Drosophila melanogaster: one gene and its partners. Changing the gene in region 2 together with the main gene of any one other region gives a genetic interaction. Each region holds a gene or a part of one and is shown on either strand. Other genes may lie near its edges. The genes, in order: RapGAP1, Rap1 and dap.

Region 1 (5,257 bases), on a different chromosome or scaffold from region 2:
TAAATATTTCTCATTTGTAGTTTCTTTTCAGTGGTTTGACATTTGTCTGTGCTGATTATGTTATTCCGTCATTTCATGCACTTGTTATTGGATGGAATTTTCGTAATTGAATTGCACAAAATATTACGCACACAATTTCACTTGGTTTCAACACTTTCTTCGCTTCTGCTTTTGGATTCTTTGCTCGTTACATTTCAATTTCAGCCAACGATTTTTGTTTAAAAATTTCACTTTTAACTACGTGCGCGTATTTATGCAGCTGTTTTTTTTTTTTGGCAAACTTATTTTGATTTCTATTTGTCTTGCCCATTAAGACACCTTTGCCACTTTCGCTTCTAATTTTTTGATAAGGCCAACAAATGCGATTTCAATTTGTTGTTATTCAAGCACACACGTTCAATTAAAAGTTCGTCAAACATTTTGCTTATTGTTTGTCTATTTATTGCTTTCGTTTTCTTTCTTTTGTTTAGGCTGTTTAGGAAACCGCCTCAGTGGGATCAATTGCAAATTAATTGTTGAAGAAAGTTTGCGTGTTATGCTTAGCATGATTTGTTTTTGTTCACTTTTTTCAAGAATTCAAAACCACAAATCATCATTGCCTTAATTGGTTATATTAATTTTATAATTTTTTTGGTTGATTACCTAGCACTTTCACATATTCGAGTATTCGTTTGTTGTTTGCTCTTCTTTTTTAACAATTTTCTTGTTTGTTTTGATTTTTCCATTCGTGGCGCTTCTCGCCGTCTTCTGTTGCTGTCGATTTGCAACTGCTTTGCGTTCTACCGTTACTTTTCGAACAGCTAATGAAGAAGACGCATCAGCGTCTGGACCGCAGACCCGAAATATATTACGATTCCTGTTCCGATTCCCGATATCAGGATTTCGCGACGCAGACGCGCGACAACGCTCACACACACGCCCGGTCGTCCTCGCACACGCACACACTTAGTCGGACACTCGCTGGCTCGGACGCCCACACGAGTTGGTTCACAAATCGACTCTGAGTCGCAAAGCAGAAAAGCTGCGGGTCTGGCCCCAAACGAACACGAATGCGAGCGACGAACAACATCGTTGCGCACGAAGCTCAGATTTCAGGTTCCACTGGCGAATGCGATCCACAAACTCCACAGTGGGGGCCAAAATAATAGTGGCTGTGGATCCAGTTATGGAGATTTTATTTATGTACACATATATTATGAAGCTTAGACAGATAAAAATTATTTAATGCAGCGCAGACAAAGAAGAGTGGAATGATATATGAAATAACATGTAAAACATGTGATGATACAGATATGCATTAATTCATATTAAAGAGCAGATAATTTTATAAAAATCCGTGCTATTGCTGCGACCTTAACTGTACGTGCACGTTGCATTTTTGTTAAGGCGAGAGAGCGAGTTTGTTGTTGTTCTGCTCTCACTGCTTTTGTTGCCTTTATGGGGGCGAAATTCTTGTTTATTTACATTTATTTACATTCCAAATGCGCGCAGTTTAGGCAAACAGAAAGAGTTGTTGCCAGGGGAGAGCGGAGCTGCCCGCATTAGCCAAAGTAAACAGTTTGGAAAACAATGCAATTCAAAGAAGCCGGCAATGCAGTTGCCAGTTAATTATTTGCACAGTGTACCCCAAAAGTATGCAGAAGGCAATGATTTCCCTCCACCGAGAGATAACCAAAACAAACCGAATAACCGGAACCGGCGTGGGACACCAATACACAAGTAAACAGAGGCACGAGCCAAAAACAGTCGGCGTTCGCCCCCTTGGAAAGTGGTGTTATTCCAGAACACGTTCTTTCATGAGCCTTTTTCGAGAGAAAGTATTTTCACAATTTGGATATACCATTTTTCTGGATTTCTGATGTCAACCCGAATAAGTATTACAGAATACGAAATTGAATATGTATGTATGTATGTTATAGTAGTTATAAAAAAGAATTTTCCGTCAACTTTTGTTGACTAAACATTGTTTTTTGTCTTGTACACCAAATCTAACAATTTGTGGAAAAAGAATCACTTTGAAAAGTGTTCACAAACTTTCGACTTGTATTTGTAAATGCAAAAAATGCAGTTCTCCCGCGAACTGTTTCCACAATCCACAAAATGACGTCGGCGTGTTGCACTTGTTCCCTCGTTTTTATCATCCACATGCTTGCCGATGTTTTCGTTGGCGGCTGATAACGAACAGCTGATAACCACACGATAAACCGCAGCTGCGAGGGGCGTTTCGAAAACCCGAAAACAGATAACCAACTGTTGCATGCCCCACATTTTTGGGGTTACACATCAAAGTGAACCGCAAGACAATGGATGCCACTTCTTTGGTAGTTTCTATATAAACAGGTATGGAATGCATGCATATATTTGGTCATTCAACATTTATCTCGGTCTCCATGGAAGTGATTTACAAGAGAAAGAAATAAAATTGATTTGTTTACGATGTGTAGGTAATAAATGGGTAAAATCATTTTAAAACCTTTCAAATGCTAGGCACAAACAAATTTTAAATTCTTGACCACCTGATGCTCTGATTCTAAACGATTAACCACATTAATATCTTGGCACTCATAAAAATGAGTAATTTATTAATGAATAAATTGAAAAAAAAAACTAGTTTTTATCATTAAGTGCACTTACCTTAGTGGTTCTGTCAGCATATCTATATTCTCGCAGCTTTCCATCTCCAGTCGCTGGTATTGCAATTGCCTGGCACTCGAAGTGCTCGATCTGCCCCCTGATCCTCCCGAAATTGTGGCCGAGTTGGATGAATGGCGACGATACTCGGCGAAACTCTCGCTTTTGCGGAGACCCGGAATTTTTCCGGAACTGTTGCGCCAGTACTTGATCATCCGGTGTAGGGGCTTGGGCGAACTGGCTGCCGAACTCGGGGCCAGCGATATTTCACTGCTTCCCACTATAATCGGATGGCCATGATCCACCAATGTCCTGTAGGAACTCATTTTTATCGCCTAAATCTACTAAATTTTGAAAGGTTACTCTTGAGAATATGTACTAACAGAATATGTACTATGTACTCTAGTAATTGCATGTGTTTTTTATTAGTTTGTTTTATTATAATGAATTTATTAAGTTAATTGAAATATATACGTTTATAACTTTCCATATAGATTGTAGAATATATTATATTTTTAATTTATATTTTTCACTGCGAATTGGTACTCTTATCATTTCTACTCCGGGCTTACACTTAGATTTATTATATTCACTCATTACACAATGTGACTATAGTTATAAAATTAATTTATGTCTACATTTTTTTTTTCTTTGCATAAATTAGAATTCGTTCGTTGCATAAATCGCGTTTCGTTGGGGTTTCGATATGATGTCGCGTCGCGCCGCCTTCGATTTTCCGACTGACCGCAACAAAGAATCGGAACAGAGCCCCAAGAACCGACTTTTTAGAACCGAGCTCCATTATCTGGAGCGTTCTCCCTCGCTTGTTTTTGCTCTCCCTCTCTTTCCATTTCCATTGTTTTTATAACTTCGCACGTTTTATTGCATAGTGTTTTTTTCTGAATTTACTTATATTTCTTGCGATTTCATTATTTTAAACATACCGGGTACTTCTGATCTTAATTGGGAATATATGTACTTAAAGCGATCATATAAGCATCAAAAATCTGTTCAAACAATGTTTTTTTTTTTATATATTTATTTATTTAGAAGCGATGAATCAATACAATGCAATAACAGTAACATAACAGCGCAATTAACATATAAAAGATAAAACCAAACCTCTCACTAATCATGTGAGGACTTAATTCAAACAATGTACTATAAATAATAAATATTCTCACCTTTTTGGGGTTAATGTGTTTTATTAAAAATTAAATTTACATTTTTTAGGTTTAATTTAGAAACCACTAAAGAAGTGGATATTGTACTCTTTTATAAATATAAAAGGTATATTCCATTCTTAAGCGCCAGTTAAACGTTTTTACTAGTTTTGGATTGTATTTCAGTTTTACTGTGCTGGTGATAAATGACCGAGCTGGGATTCCGCTAAGTCAGCTCGTTTTCATTTTATTGCTGCCGATATACAAATTAAGTGTAATCCGTACATATAGAGACGTCTTTATTTATTTTTATTTACCATTTCCAGCTATCGGATATCTCAGGGTTTTCAGCACCGCCCCCTTTAACACGCCCCATGAATAGAAACCATTGTCTAGTTCAATGCTCCAATCAATCACCATTTAGACTTTGGTTAATTAATTAAACAATCCATCAAGATTTTCTCTTATCTGATTCTTACACCTTCGTTTGACATTTTCAGGTGCTGGGAAATTGATTTGCGCATAATAAGCGACGATTTTACTCAGATTTTCCTCATTTCTATGGCACTTGGAATAGGAAAAAGTAGTGTGGGGACAACTGGAAAATATAAATGTCTCATCGATGCATCAATGAGTCAAGCTGGGTTTACGATTCTGCTGCGGGTCACCACCAAGAACTTTAATGGTTCTCGAAAAGAGGGTGATAAGGAAACAGACTTCAGGGCGTCGCAATATGCACAAAAAACGGACGGAGAATAAGTGCATTAAAGTCGATGGGGGGGATGAAGACAGTGGCGTCGAAAAGTGGTTCCACAACTGCTAAATGCCGCTGCAATCGAGTTAACAGGTAATGGAATATCCAGCAAATCAGATAAATGGAACATGCAAAACAAATCGCTCGATAAGAGAGCTGTAAATATGAAAATTATAAAAAAGAAATCAAGTCGTTGTAGCTTCAAGATACTCTTTTTAGTAAAATGCATCTGCCTGCATTCAAAATAGAAAATGGCATTTCTATTTTGTCGAAATACTTCTTATCTGTTTTAATGCCTTTTGATGCATTTCAAAAATTCATGTGACTTAATAAGTGTTTAATGTTTAATTTTCCCCCTATCGCGATCTCCTAATTACAGAGTATCAAAACCAATTTAAAGTGAAATCGAAAACCCAAATCGAAATCGAATTCGCAGTTGCTACTGTAACGGTTTCGGCCACGGGAAAGTCGAGTAAGATTTATCATGACATTTCCTTGATGACGATACTCAATCGCAACCGCCCCCCTACATCAACCCCCCAGCACCGCCCCCATCCCCCATGACCACTCGAGCATCGTGTGTGCGTTGTCAAAATTACATTAAAGCGGAAATCGCATGCTCCGCTTCAGTGCCAATCGAAAGAAGACAGCAAACTGACCGCAGAGTAGAAAAAAAAACTAAAACTGCACTGCCCGCAGTCTCGGATAA
Region 2 (6,241 bases):
CACCTGGCAGCGCAACAAGAAGGTGACCACGGCCAAGCAGATAGACTCCTTGCCGCTGCGCGAAGAGCCCAGCGACGACGAGGATCACCACCACCAGCAGCGTGATCAGCAGCAAGCGAGCCAGTCCAGCCAGCAGCAGGGTCAACTGCAGCTGCGCAAGTGAAGCGGATCGTTTTGTTATCTAATCTCAACGGCCATAACGTGACGATCACGTGCGCTAGTAATCTCCCCAGTTCCCCAGTCCAAAGTAATCTCCGGGCAAGAACGAAATCTGAAATCTCCTATCCCAATCTCGACACAAAGATGCGATGGTATTACCCTAGTTTTAACCTTAAGTGCAATTTTTACCCTACCGTGCAATACCCCCATATACCCATACATATATTCCTTGTTTGTATACGTTTTGTTTACCCTTTCGTTGTTGCCAAATTAGCGTAGTTAAGTTTTATGCATAATTTGTAATCGATACTAAGGCGGCCTCTTTTAAGCCGCGATTGCTAGAGATTGCTAGAAAGCCACACTCACTCACACGTTCGACTGATTATAAAAAGCGTTAATTAACAAGCATCACACCAGGAATCGGAGGCGAGTCCCCCAGTATAGCACTTTGCTTAGCCCAAAACCTAGTCATGAAGCGGAACTCGAGCCACTTATTGTACAGTAATAGAAACTACCACGTAACTCTGTCTTAAAATTCACTTTCTACATTTTAACTGCTGGCGAGCGATTCGCCGGCTTCTACGAAAAGCATGCATTATGATTGTATATCTCAACCCGCGAATCTCTCGGAACTTGCATACCATATCAGCTGTGGATACAATGCGGTTTTACTACTCCTACGCCCCAACTTAACTCCGAATCGATCCTATCGCAGATCTTACGCTGGATTAACATGCGTGCTATAAACTAGCAGAATATTATAATTATAAAGACGAGCTATTTGATTGTAATTGTATATGTATAAATATTTGAATAACAACCTTATATAACTATTCCAAGTATCAAATACAGATATTTCAAAACTTCAATGCAATCGTCTTGTCTTTAACTTCTGAATGAACTATGCTAAGAATAAGGCATACGCTCCACAAATGAATTTATTTAATTTTTATTTTGTTTTTGCATTTCCTTTTTAATTTTTTATAAACATAATACATTTATTAATAATTAAAAGATGCTCGATCATGTCGACCTACTGCGTCGCGAATTCGGGACTGCCAGGATTCTGAGATCAGAGGCTCTGTGTGGGGTCCCAAAAACGCGACCAGTAGGGAAACAAGTTCGAAAAAATGGTTTTTCAATTACATTTTTCACACGCTCATTATTACATTATGTTATTGTAACGGTTGGTTTGTTTGTTGTTTATTATGTTCAAAAATGATTTGTATCTTTATCATATATTTAATATATACGCTTGGGCTTAGGTTTTATTTAGTTTACTTTTAATGTTGGTTGTTGGCTGTGTTTAGACTTTGATTTAAGGGCATATTGGTTACTACTCGTACGCGAAGTTTATGCAATGTTTATTATGAAATATTTGTAAATTACTTCGTTTTTAGGTTTCTTTTCATTTTGGGATTGACACGACAGTTTAGTTTGTGTTAAACCATTTCTTATGTATTAAATATTCTAGAATTTGTGGCTCTCTCTGCACTTCCTGCTCCTCTTCTTTTTACCAGGAAGCGGAAATGAGCCTTGGCCGCAGGAGCCTCTTGTCTCGATTCCGCTTCCGTTTTCGTGTAGCTTTTTCGCTCTCTGAGAGCGCGCCGGAAATGTGTAGGTGTGTTTGTGTGTGTGAGTTCTGGTTGCGAATGTGTGTGTGTGTGTGTGGGATGTGGCTGGTATGTGTGTGTTTGGGGGGGGGGGTTCAGATTTGATGCAACTGATCGTGGTAAACAATTAATTGTAAATTTGTTTTAAACTAATTTCTAAGGGGGAGGGGGCTCATTACTTCTGGTTGTTTGCAACATTTTGACATCATTTGCATACAATATTTTTATAAAATATGTTCCTTATTCATGATTCATTTCCTTTCTCGATTTATTTGCTCATTTCTCTCGTGGAATTTGTTATCTTTATCTTTTAGGCGTACAATTTAGTTTAGCTTAATTTGATTTGTGTTTCGAATGTTGTTTTCGGTTCTATTTAAAGATATACTTGTTGTTGGTTGGGCTTTCGCGTGTATAAGTAGTTGTAGTTGTAGATGTGTAGAGTACAATCGAAAAGAATCAATAAATACGAATGTTTTAGTTTACGAATGTTTCACTTGTTGCATAATTTAAAAAACGGCTCAAAAACGAACGACAAATATATTTAAATATGTAGATATATATATATAATAATTCCCCATATGAATTAATGGTTAATCAGCGAAAAATAGTACAATCATAATAGTAGTAAATGGTAATAATTACAAAAACTTGAAACAGTTAAAAACATTTGTCAGTTTAAGTTTTGCTTGTATATAGTAGATTGGTTATTTCAATTCGACAATTGCCATCGGATCCAAAACGAAACGAGAACGAAAAAAATTTGAAAATTCTTTACTTTACGCTTATACTTTTGCTCCTCTCTCCTCCTCCTCTGTTATATATTTTTTTTTTTGTTTTTTTAGTTTTGGTGGTTTTTGGAAGTCTTATAGCAGAACACATAGGGACTTTTTCGGCTTCTTCTGTTTCTTCTCGGGCGACTTCTTGTTGATCTGCCGGACCAGGTCGTAGAAAATATCGTTCACATTCACTTTGGCTTTGGCTGAGGTCTCCATGAAGGCGCAGTTGAACTGGGTGGCCAGGTTCTTGCCCAGCTCCTTGCCGACGACGCGCTCCTCTTCGAGGTCGCACTTGTTGCCCACGAGCACCATGGGCACATCGTCCGTGTCCTTCACCCGGAGTATCTGCTCGCGCAGGTCCTGCAGATCGTTAAACGTCGATTGCGCCGTGATCGAGTAGACCAGCACGAATCCCTGGCCGTTCTTCATGTACAAATCCCGCATGGCCGTGAACTGCTCCGTACCCGCCGTGTCCAGGATCTCCAGCATGCACTGCTGTCCGTCCACCTCCACCTGCTTCCTGTAACTGTCCTCGATGGTGGGATCGTACTTCTCCACGAAGATGCACTGGACAAACTGGACTGTCAGCGCGGATTTGCCCACGCCGCCGCTTCCAAGGACCACGATTTTGTACTCACGCATGCTGGCTGCTGTGCTGTTTGTATATCCTTCGTATATCTCTTGTTTTGTGCTAAATTCTAGGGAAGAGACCCAAAATGCAGGTAGGCCAGGTAGGTGGGTTCACTTTCCAGGTGGCTCTCCCTCGAAAATCACTTGTTTTTAGGCGTTGTTCGGCGATTGCTTGTCGGTTGCAGTTGTTTTTTGTTTTTGTTTTTTTTTGTTGCTCTTGCTTATTAGTTAATATATGTTTTATATTTAAAGTAAATTGTTTGTTGTTGTTGCTTTTGCTGTTGATAACCTTTGTGCCGTGTAAGTGACTGCGTGAGTGTGTGTGTGTTAGTGTGTGTGAATGTGTGATGGTGTTTGTGCTCCCTCTCTCGCTCGCTCCTTCCGCCGAGTTGCGTGCGTTCAATTGTTGCTTTTTTGAGCGGAAATATCCTGGCTTGACTGTTCCTCGAGACGGCCGTCACTGCTACCGAGAGCACACTGTGGGGGGAGTAAGAAGAAAGGCGCTTTTTAGACACAATAAACGCTAAATTCTTTGCGAGTCTTTTTGGTTTGCGTTTTTTGGTATGCTGAGAACTGACTGCACTCCCTCTTTTCTTCTTCACAACTCTCTCGTTCTCGTTCTCGCTCTAATGATTCATTTTCAGGGTTGCCAGGCGGCCGCACCGAACGCAGCGCCCCACTGCAACGCCTCAAGCCGGAGATTCCCTTAAATTTCACTCAGCTCTCTCACTTAAAATGCACTTAAATTGCACACTGGGCACCCATGTGCGTACATCGGCCTACCGAACGGCCACTAAACAACTGAACCACGCAAATGCACCCGCATGTCGGGCGGCAGGGCAACTCTGGGCGGAGTTTTACCTATGCTTTTCACTCGCTGCCGCCAACTGCTTGCTCCTTGGGGACCGCTTCACCTGTCGCCGCTCGCGAATCGCTTCACTTTTAATTTAACACTAGTTTGCCTTGTAATTTCTTTACTTTTTCGCCCTCAGCGAACAGCGAACACTCAAAGACTAGGGCTGCCAAAGCATCGATGGCACTATCGGCACTCGCAGGCCGAGGGCTACGCACGACTATCGCAATGGCTTAGCGATGACACTTTTAAAGCATTGCTGTAAATTTTAAAAATAAACTATAAAATTTATATTCGAAATATATTTGATTCTTTTAAATTTATATTAGCACATCAAATTTTGGAAATATTTAAATTGTTATTTTCCCTATATATTTTTTTTTAATTTTAATTTTGTTAATACGATTTCATATTGAAATTGTTTTCTACAGTAAGTGATATTTTATGGTATTCCTATTTTATTTTTTAAGCATAATTTGCAAATAATATATAAGCTGTGTTGCCGATAGTTTAAGAAAAAATTCTAATGCTTGATTGTTTCATGAATCAGCAATATGATTCGCATTCAGAATTTTAGTCAGCCGCATATTCACATTTTCGAGATACAGTTTTGAATCATAGAATTTATCATAAGGAAAATAATTACAATTTATACAAAAATTGCAATATCACGTTTTTGGAATATTATTGTAGGGGTCATAATATTCCAAAAACGTGATATTGCAATTTATGTATAAATTGTAATTATATTCCTTATGATTAATTCAATGATAATAAATATAATAATTTCTTAAAGTGATTAATTCCATGAAAAACACACTCCACTTTAAGATACCGCTAAAATGGTCAGACCGAAATCTCTTCCAATGCTTCAGCGTCTTTTCGATTTAATCAATTCATATAAACTATGTATATTTAGGAAATCAACAAAAGTTAATATCTAACTAAAATTTCGTACAAAATCCAGCGCGGTCATCGACCTAGCGGATCTTGGTGACCATTCCGGCGGCAATGGTGACTCCCGCCACGCGAAGCATCACGCGTCCCAGCTCCTTGAAGTCCGCATACCGCTCGATGCAGATGGGTCTGCTGGTTTCCAGTTCCACTAGGGCACACGAGTTGTTGCCCAGGCAACGCGGCTTCTTCTTGACCACCTCGCCGGTGCTCTTGTGAATCGATGCGGTCAGCTTGCAGACCACGGCGGGCTCTATTAGGGATTGGTGGTGCAGCAGCACGGGGAAGCCCATGGTAATGGGCACCTTGACGTTGAACACGATTATGCGGGCCTGGAATCGCGTTGTCACCGGAATAGGGGTTTGTGGATCGCTGATGATGCAGCCCACGGTGACGTTGTTGATGTCCAAGGCGGGCAGGGTGACGGAGACCTGATCGCCGGCGAACACGCAAGTCTGTGGGAATTCGTTCATGGTAAGGGATTTCACTTGGGCCTGCTCCCGGCTGGCACCCACCAGCACCTTGTCGTTCAGGCACAGCACTCCGGTTTCCACTCGTCCCGAGATGCAGAATCCGGAGCCAGTGCCCTTGTAAATGTCCGACACGGACATTCGCAGCGGTCTGTCGATGGCTCTTTCGGGGATCTTGAAGTTCTCAATGACATCGAGGAGGTGGCGTCCACTGTACCAGTTGGTCAGGGCGGGTTCCTGGGCTTTCTTGGTGAGGTTCTCGCCGGTTAGTCCGGAACAGGGCGTAAAACTCACATCGGAATCCTTGAAGCCCGCCAGTTTGAGGAAGGACTTTAGCTTGGTCACAATCTCTGTGAATCGGTCCTGGGACCAGCCAACGGTGTCCAGCTTGTTGATGACCACGCCTAGCTGGTTAACCCCCAGGGATCGCACTAGAATGGCGTGCTCTCTAGTCTGTCCGCCGAGCTCAAAGCCGGATTCAAACTCTCCCCTTGTAGCATCCACCACCAGAAGGGCAACATCCGCCTGTGTGGCACCGGAGATCATGTTCGGAATGAAGTCCTTGTGCCCCGGAGCATCCAGCAGTGTGACGATCTTGGTCTTGGTTTCGATACGCGACTGGCCCACGTCCATGGTGATGCCGCGGGCCCGCTCCTCGCCCGTCTCGTCCAGCACCCAGGCATACATGAAGCTCTGCTTGCCCAGCTTCTTGGACTCCTGCTCGTGCTTGTGCATCACTCGCTGCGAAACGTTGCCGGTGTCGTACAGTAGATGGCCCATCAGCGT
Region 3 (6,784 bases), on a different chromosome or scaffold from region 2:
CTGGCAGTACTTCTAGTAAAACCTCGGAGATCAGCCAGGAAGGCAATAGGTGGACCAGCAAAACCACTTCGAGCAGTAGCTGGAATCGTCCCACTTTGAAAGGAGGACTCTTCAGCCAGGCCAGCAGCAGTTCCCAGAGCCAAAGCACCTACGATGACGGAAAGGGCAAGACGAAGATCAGTTCGCTGTCTGTGAGATTGCAGCAGTCCATCGAGGAAACACCCAAGCTAAGCAACGGAAATAGCTCCTCTAGCAAATCCCTGGTCCAGTCGCAGCGAAAGTCCACGGTGCAAACCATGAGCAGTTCCAATGCCAGGAGCTTCACCAACCAGCAAGTACAAAGAACCAGCACCACCTCTTCCAAGGTGATCTCCAGCAGCACCAGAAGCAGTAACACCAGCTCCAGCAATTATATAGCCTCCAACGCCAGCAACTCAATCTCGACCAGCGCCAGCAACCCAAGCTCCACCGGCGCCAGCAATCCAATTACCACCAGCGCCAGCAACGAATCGGCCAGCAGTCGTCGAGCCAAGTTCAGGATAAATCAGATGAGTCGCGATGTGCCCGTTGGGCTGCCGGACACTCATCAAACCGTGAATCTGGAGGAGGCGGCCAACACCACCAAGGATTGCCTGCTGCATTTGTTGGAGAAATACAACGAGACCCGCATCCGCAATCCGGTGGGTCGTCACCAGAGCATCAGCGTGGACTGGCGGGTCAGCGACAATCTGGAGTACCGCTCCATGAGCTCCATCAACGCCTTCTTCCAGCGCCACAACCCCAATGGCGGCGGCCACAACGTACGCCACATTCAAGCCCAGCTGGAGGAGAAGGCGGCGGGCAAGTAGGTGCCCATATCCACAGCCCTCTGTATATATGCGATATATATATTTGTATGTAGAGTACAGATCAACTAATTGGCACATAGGTAAATCTACAAAGCGTCGAATGGAACAAATTAATATTTATGTACTTGATGTAAGCAATAAATCAAATTAATTTATTGAATAAAACTGAAGCAATGATTCGTTTCTATTGACGCGGGATTGAATTTTGTTGGCATCCCACGATATTTTATAAAAATGAAATTAAAAATTAAAAACGCGATTTATGTACTACCAACTAGAAAATCAAAAACAATTTATTGCAGAAAAACAAATATTAACTTATAAAATGTACAAAATTGTTTTAGTAAACTACATTTTACTGCTACGTCTACAACCAAAGTAATGCGGATGTGTTGGTAATTTTGAAACAGGACAATCGCGTTGTTTTTGTTTTGTTTATTGATGTATGAGTTGAATATGGTTTAATTATACATAGAGTGTCTATACATATAAATATTAGGAGAATACTTTGGATTTGTTCTTAGTTAGGCCTTACAAATTAATGCTTTGTATAAGTGTTATGAAGAATAGGCTCTGCCTATGTGTATAGTATGTATAATAATCTAGTTTTTGTACATGATAGTTTCAGGCAAAATTGTTTTCATAATTTGCCCAGAGATCATAGCAAATCATAAAAGACATTTTTAGCACTGGTTAAGAAATGAGAGCGCGACAATTTGTGTCCATTCGGCGGCATTCATATAAATAAGGCATCCAAACGTGCAGAAATTGACGAAGTTAATTCAAAGGCATTCCTCTTTTTTTTTTTTGTTTTCCACTGGTCGAATTGGTTACAATGTTAGTAGGTCGCAAAAACAAAGCAGCAATGAGCCGAAATGCGGCTTATTGGGGCATCGTTTTGGCGCCCTTAATATGCAAGACAAAACTCAATTCTACTCTCCCCTCAGTTTCAGTACTTGGATGAAGTGGCAGGGCAGAGAAAGGATGAGTTTTGTTCACCCGGCAAATTTCAAATGCAAAAGTTGCCGGCGAAATTTGCAAGGATTTCACAAAGTTATGTAAAGTTAGTATTCCATCGTTATAAAGGTTAAATTTCGGTTGGCTTCAAGATAGTTAAGACTAATTCCATTTAGCTTGCGGTCTCTCTCTTCTTGTTCAATAGTTGTTTGTTGTTAAGAACTAATCACTTAGTTTATGGCATTTCTCACTAGAGAAATCTAAAAAGTTTCATTTAGCTCGAGCTTACTGGTTGACTTACAACTAATTACTGGTTACGAGTAGTTGAAGACTAACGATTAATATTCGCAACTGTCGCCCTTGCACTGCATAAAAAGGTTCGTAATAAAAAATTAGGAAATACTACACAATCGCAGTGGCTTGTAAAAAATAAAATTACAAATTGCAATTCGGTGGGTTGGCCAGCGAATCTGGAGCATTAGTTGTGGCGCGGCCGCTTCAACATCGCCCCAAAGTGTGCCCCCAACCCAAATCCACCGCTGGAGCTGGAGCTGGAAGTGGCGGACGAACTGGGAGAACTGGTGCGCATGCGCTTTGCGGGCGATAGTTTCTTGGGTGCCTGGGCCAGACGTTTGCGCTCCTTCATGAATTCTGTAAACAAAGGAAGGAAAACGAGTGTTATTAATACGTGTTAGGTGGAATTGCCAAATCAAAGTCAGCTGCTGCATTTCCGGTTGCCCCTGTTCACAAGTCACTGATCCCTAAACAGCAGGCGCCGCCTGTTTTTCTGTTTTTGCACATTTTGATTTCGGTTTCGGGTAGATTCCCAGATTGTGGCACGTGGACGGCAGCACTTCCCTACCAGAGGGTTGCAGATCCGCACAGGGGTAGCAAATAAATGCCAGACGGCAGCCAGACAGTCGGTCTTTAGCCGGTTTTCAGGTAGTCCGGTGAAAGCAAGAGTGGTGGTGCTACATAACTGCATAAATTATGAGCTCTAGCTTACTGGCCAAAGCAGCAAAAAGTGCACTTTAAGTAAAGCGAGTTGAGGCGTTGGGGGATTCAAAGGCTTCCCTACTGACCACCCGATGCGGGTGCATTTATTATGTTCCGAACAGACACAATTTTTTTATGATTATAATTACACATGCATGTGCTAGTGGCATTTATAAAAAACGCTCAGTACAAAGCAATCAAAGGGAGGTTTGATAAGACCATGGACTCTGGATGGTGGTGCATTGAAAGCCGATCCCCAGACCCCTCTCCCGTTTTCTATAATGAGGTCAGGCCATAGACAAAGCGGAGTCACAGCTGTTGGCATTTATAGATGCAGCCAGCCAGCCCGCATGCTATCGATCTGGAAACCAACCCCCGCGTTGTGGAGGATCAGAAGAGAATCATTCGGTTTAGGGAGATGAGGAGCTGAAACAGCTGCAGTCAGCTTTGACTTACCCTTCTGGACGAAAATAAATCTCCCACAAAGCATTGGCTAATTGCTATAATTTGGGTCTAAGTTTCACGAAAAACGCCCACAACTAAAACGTGAATATAAACAATAAATGCGAAGGAGTGGACTTAAAACCAATCAAACAACCCCTTATGGAGTTTAGTATTGTAAGTACAAAATCCTGCACAAAATATTGGTTTGGCATAAAATCATTGATGAAAATCGTTTTCATCGAGTTTGCAAAACAAAGAGCACGAATCTACTTTTATATCTCGAGCACTATATTCGGAAATTTTTAGATAATACTCTCTACTCTACAGATAATTTTGAAAAATAATATCGTATCAGTCCGATTACAAAACAAGCCTGATAAGTTAAAAAAAAAAAAAAAACACCCTCAACTTCCTCCTGAGAACCGAAAATAAACAGGGAATAAAAGGAAAGCTATGGGAAAACACTTTGTAACGTCTATCGAAGTGAAATGAAGCCTGACCCTGGGAACCGTCAAGCTCTACTGATCAAAATGGTGTAGAACATCCCCCAAAACTCACCTGTGATTTTTGGCTGTCTCTTGCGCAGGACTATGGAGGATGTGCTTGTCGTGCTGGAGGAGCTAAGCCGCATTGCCAGCGACTCGTCCTGGGAGTCGTAACAAGATTCATTATCCGTGTTCGACTCTAGCGAGGAATTGACCAGATTGGAGCCAAAGTTCTCCCGTTCTGAGCGCTCGTTGACCAAAATGTCCATGTCGCTAGGACTTGCATCCGCGGAAGGGCGTACGTGGGCGGCCCGTGTTAGGGTGTACATCTCTGGGGCGAAGCTCGACTCCTGGAAGCTGACGCGCTCCCAAATGTAGGGTGATTTTTCAGCTAAAGGGCAGCCGGCGCGGAAGTCAAAGCCCCATTTTTGCGTGGCCAGTTCTTGATGGCGCTCCAGTTCGGAATTAAAGGGTCTAAAGAGGATATATTGTTAGCTATTGGTCAAAATCCAACTGTTATTATAGAAACTCACGTTTTGTTGGCTGTACCCTCGGCGGATTTGGAGCTACCGAAGAGGTCACGCTTTATGCGATTCAACTGACGACCGCATGCCAGATTGCGACTCACCGCCGGGCTGCTGCTCATCTTGCAGAACTCACTGATCATCACAGGATTCAGGACTCGGGCACTGACCATGTTGAGTCAATATATATTTTTTTGGGATCCCCTAGTGTTTTCTACTCTGTTTTGAGACGCACTTTTCTTGCCACTTGTTTGCGAATTACACGCCAAAGCGAACTGTCAAACTTTTGGCGCCAAAACTTTGTGTTCAGACAGCCCCAAAAGAGAGAGAGGCAGTCTCCACACGAATACAAATCACGGTCTCCACACGCGAGCGTGTGTGTATGTGAGAGGGAGAGCGAGTGTTCTGTGTGTGCGTTGTGCTGCAGCTTATTTTACGTCTTGCTGCGTTCAAAAGTGAAATTTCACGCTGCAATTGTTTATAAAAATAATTATAAACAAATGCCTTGGTCCAATAGCACTTGGTCACTATCTTTGAATGGCGATTCGAACACACTGCACTGCTAGTCGACTCACAAAACGAAACGTTTGCGGGTCTCGTTGGAGTTTTTGTATGAGTTAGCTGCCAATGGCAGCACCTTTGTATTATATTTGTCTTTACAACTTGAAGTCGTTTTTACAGCGATGTTTGTTAACCTTTTCGGCTATGAGCGCACTGCGCACTAGATTTTTAAATATAGCGCTACCGATCGAAGCGAACCTCTCTCGACGAACTCGGAGAAACGAATAAAAGATAAATAAAACACTGGGCAAAAGCAAACGTCAAACAACCACCAGAGGCGTTGCCAACTGGAAATTCAGAGCGGTTCACGCTCTCTCTGTAGCAACCCTCGAATTCGAAAAGATCGGAAAAGCAGCAGGAGCGAAAGAGATAGGGAAAAAGAATGCGCTTTTAATGTTAATCATATCGAAAGAGCAATGCACTTCCTTTGAATTGTTCTTTAAACTTATATAGCAAACGTATAAAAAATACTCAGAAAAATAAAAGTTTCCTAACAAAATTTAACTAAGGCATCTGAGTTTAAAAGTTTTGATATTATGAGCTTTAATATAATTATTGATTGTTGGAATCATCATATAGTACAATATATAATACGTATTCATTATTATTATTATTATTATTATTATCATTATTTTCATTATTTCCTGTCAAATAATATTCACAGCTCATAAGCCCATAGTTCATTTGTAAACAGTATTCAACCAGATTTTATTTTTAATGTTTTTGAAATAACCAATTTAATTATATTTTAAACTGTCCAAGGTTCCTTCATAGAGCGTATCAAGAAAGTCGTCACAACTTCCACAACCTCTCTCTCTCTCACCATATGTCTCCCACTCTCTCGCACGCCATCTACCCATCCCTGCCATTTCCATCCGTGTGTTCTGTTCGCTGCCTTCTTGGTTGTTGTTGCATCGGTGGAGCTGTACTTTTAGTTGCGATTGCGATGGGAAGATACGAAAAAACGATGTTATGGTTTTGGTTTGTTTGGCCTCAAACTGGATTTTTAGTCGTCGGAGGGAAGTGGCAGGGGGCATTTGGGGCACCAATTCTTTTCACTTTCCTCGTGTTGCCAAGGGGAAAATCGCGCTTGCATTGTGGGGCACTGGTCCACCAAATATACATTTGTACGATGTATGTATGTATGTATGTAAAATAATGTGCACGTCTAGTTCGAATTTCCTTGTGGTGTTTGCATAGCACTGGGTATTTCAAATTTCCGTTATGGTTCACTTTGTGAAACGCAAGTTTTCTGCTCATTTCGTGCTGCATTTTCATAAAGTTTTTTTCCTTTCGTGTGCAAAATCGTAAAAAATTAAATTACACTACCAAAGGCAATAAAACGAGATTTATATTGTTTGAACAAATCCAATTAAATAAGAAGGAAAGAATTGGGACAAAGCCTTGGAAGTCAGATTCGTAGACTAAAGACATCATTTGCTTTGTCCTTTGCACTCGACGAAATAATGGGAAAACCCATCGGCTTTCCACACAAAAACCCGAGAAAAAAAAAAACAAGAAAAAACGGAGTGCAATCACCCCAAAAAAGGCAGAGATCGTTTGACGAACGTTCGATTAGGCAGCATCATCATCCATCCATAATTCGTTCCTTTCCACTCCCATAAGATCCGATCCCTTGTGGTTCGGTTTTCTGTTTATGGGACACACCCTCCCTCAAAAAGAAAAGCAACGTGAATTTACACACTTTATAACAAATTTGAGAATTCTACTGGCGTTCGGCGGCAGTCATGCCTGAAAACATAAACAACTCAAGAAGGAGTTTTTCGAAAGGGGAAGAGTTCGTGATCCCTTTAAGTAATTTCCTCCCGAGCAGGATATCCTGGCTTTATATGGGTTGTGTCAACACACGCGGAAAAACAAAAAAAAAAAAGGCTGAGAAAAGAGGTGGAAAAGCGGTTCTCAAGTGTCCCGCTTATGAGGGCAGATCCTAAAGGATTGTCGTGGAACG

Evidence for each region.
Region 1: of Rap1 (region 2) and RapGAP1, changing one enhances a phenotype caused by changing the other (phenotypic enhancement), as found in Drosophila melanogaster (one study listed by BioGRID).
Region 3: of Rap1 (region 2) and dap, changing one enhances a phenotype caused by changing the other (phenotypic enhancement), as found in Drosophila melanogaster (one study listed by BioGRID).

What each region holds. Positions count from the first base shown.
Region 1 is NT_033779.5:7,575,603-7,580,859, forward strand, and holds the start of RapGAP1 (Rap GTPase activating protein 1), read right to left. Parts: upstream 3,379-5,257; 5' UTR 2,958-3,378; coding exon 2,635-2,957; intron 1,006-2,634; exon of another isoform or gene 643-1,005; intron 412-642; exon of another isoform or gene 132-411; intron 1-131.
Region 2 is NT_037436.4:1,858,022-1,864,262, forward strand, and holds Rap1 (Rap1 GTPase), read right to left. Parts: upstream 4,219-6,241; 5' UTR 4,040-4,218; exon of another isoform or gene 3,909-4,039; intron 3,796-3,908; exon of another isoform or gene 3,656-3,795; 5' UTR 3,191-3,655; coding exon 2,636-3,190; 3' UTR 1,094-2,635; downstream 1-1,093. Other genes in the region: CG12024 (uncharacterized protein), read left to right, coding at 1-163; HBS1, read right to left, coding at 5,012-6,241. UniProt on the Drosophila melanogaster protein: Ras proteins bind GDP/GTP and possess intrinsic GTPase activity. Plays a role in photoreceptor cell determination.
Region 3 is NT_033778.4:9,710,583-9,717,366, reverse strand, and holds dap (dacapo), read right to left. Parts: upstream 5,047-6,784; 5' UTR 4,428-5,046; coding exon 4,264-4,427; intron 4,205-4,263; coding exon 3,804-4,204; intron 2,457-3,803; coding exon 2,284-2,456; 3' UTR 1,111-2,283; downstream 1-1,110. Other genes in the region: sqa (spaghetti-squash activator), read left to right, coding at 1-848.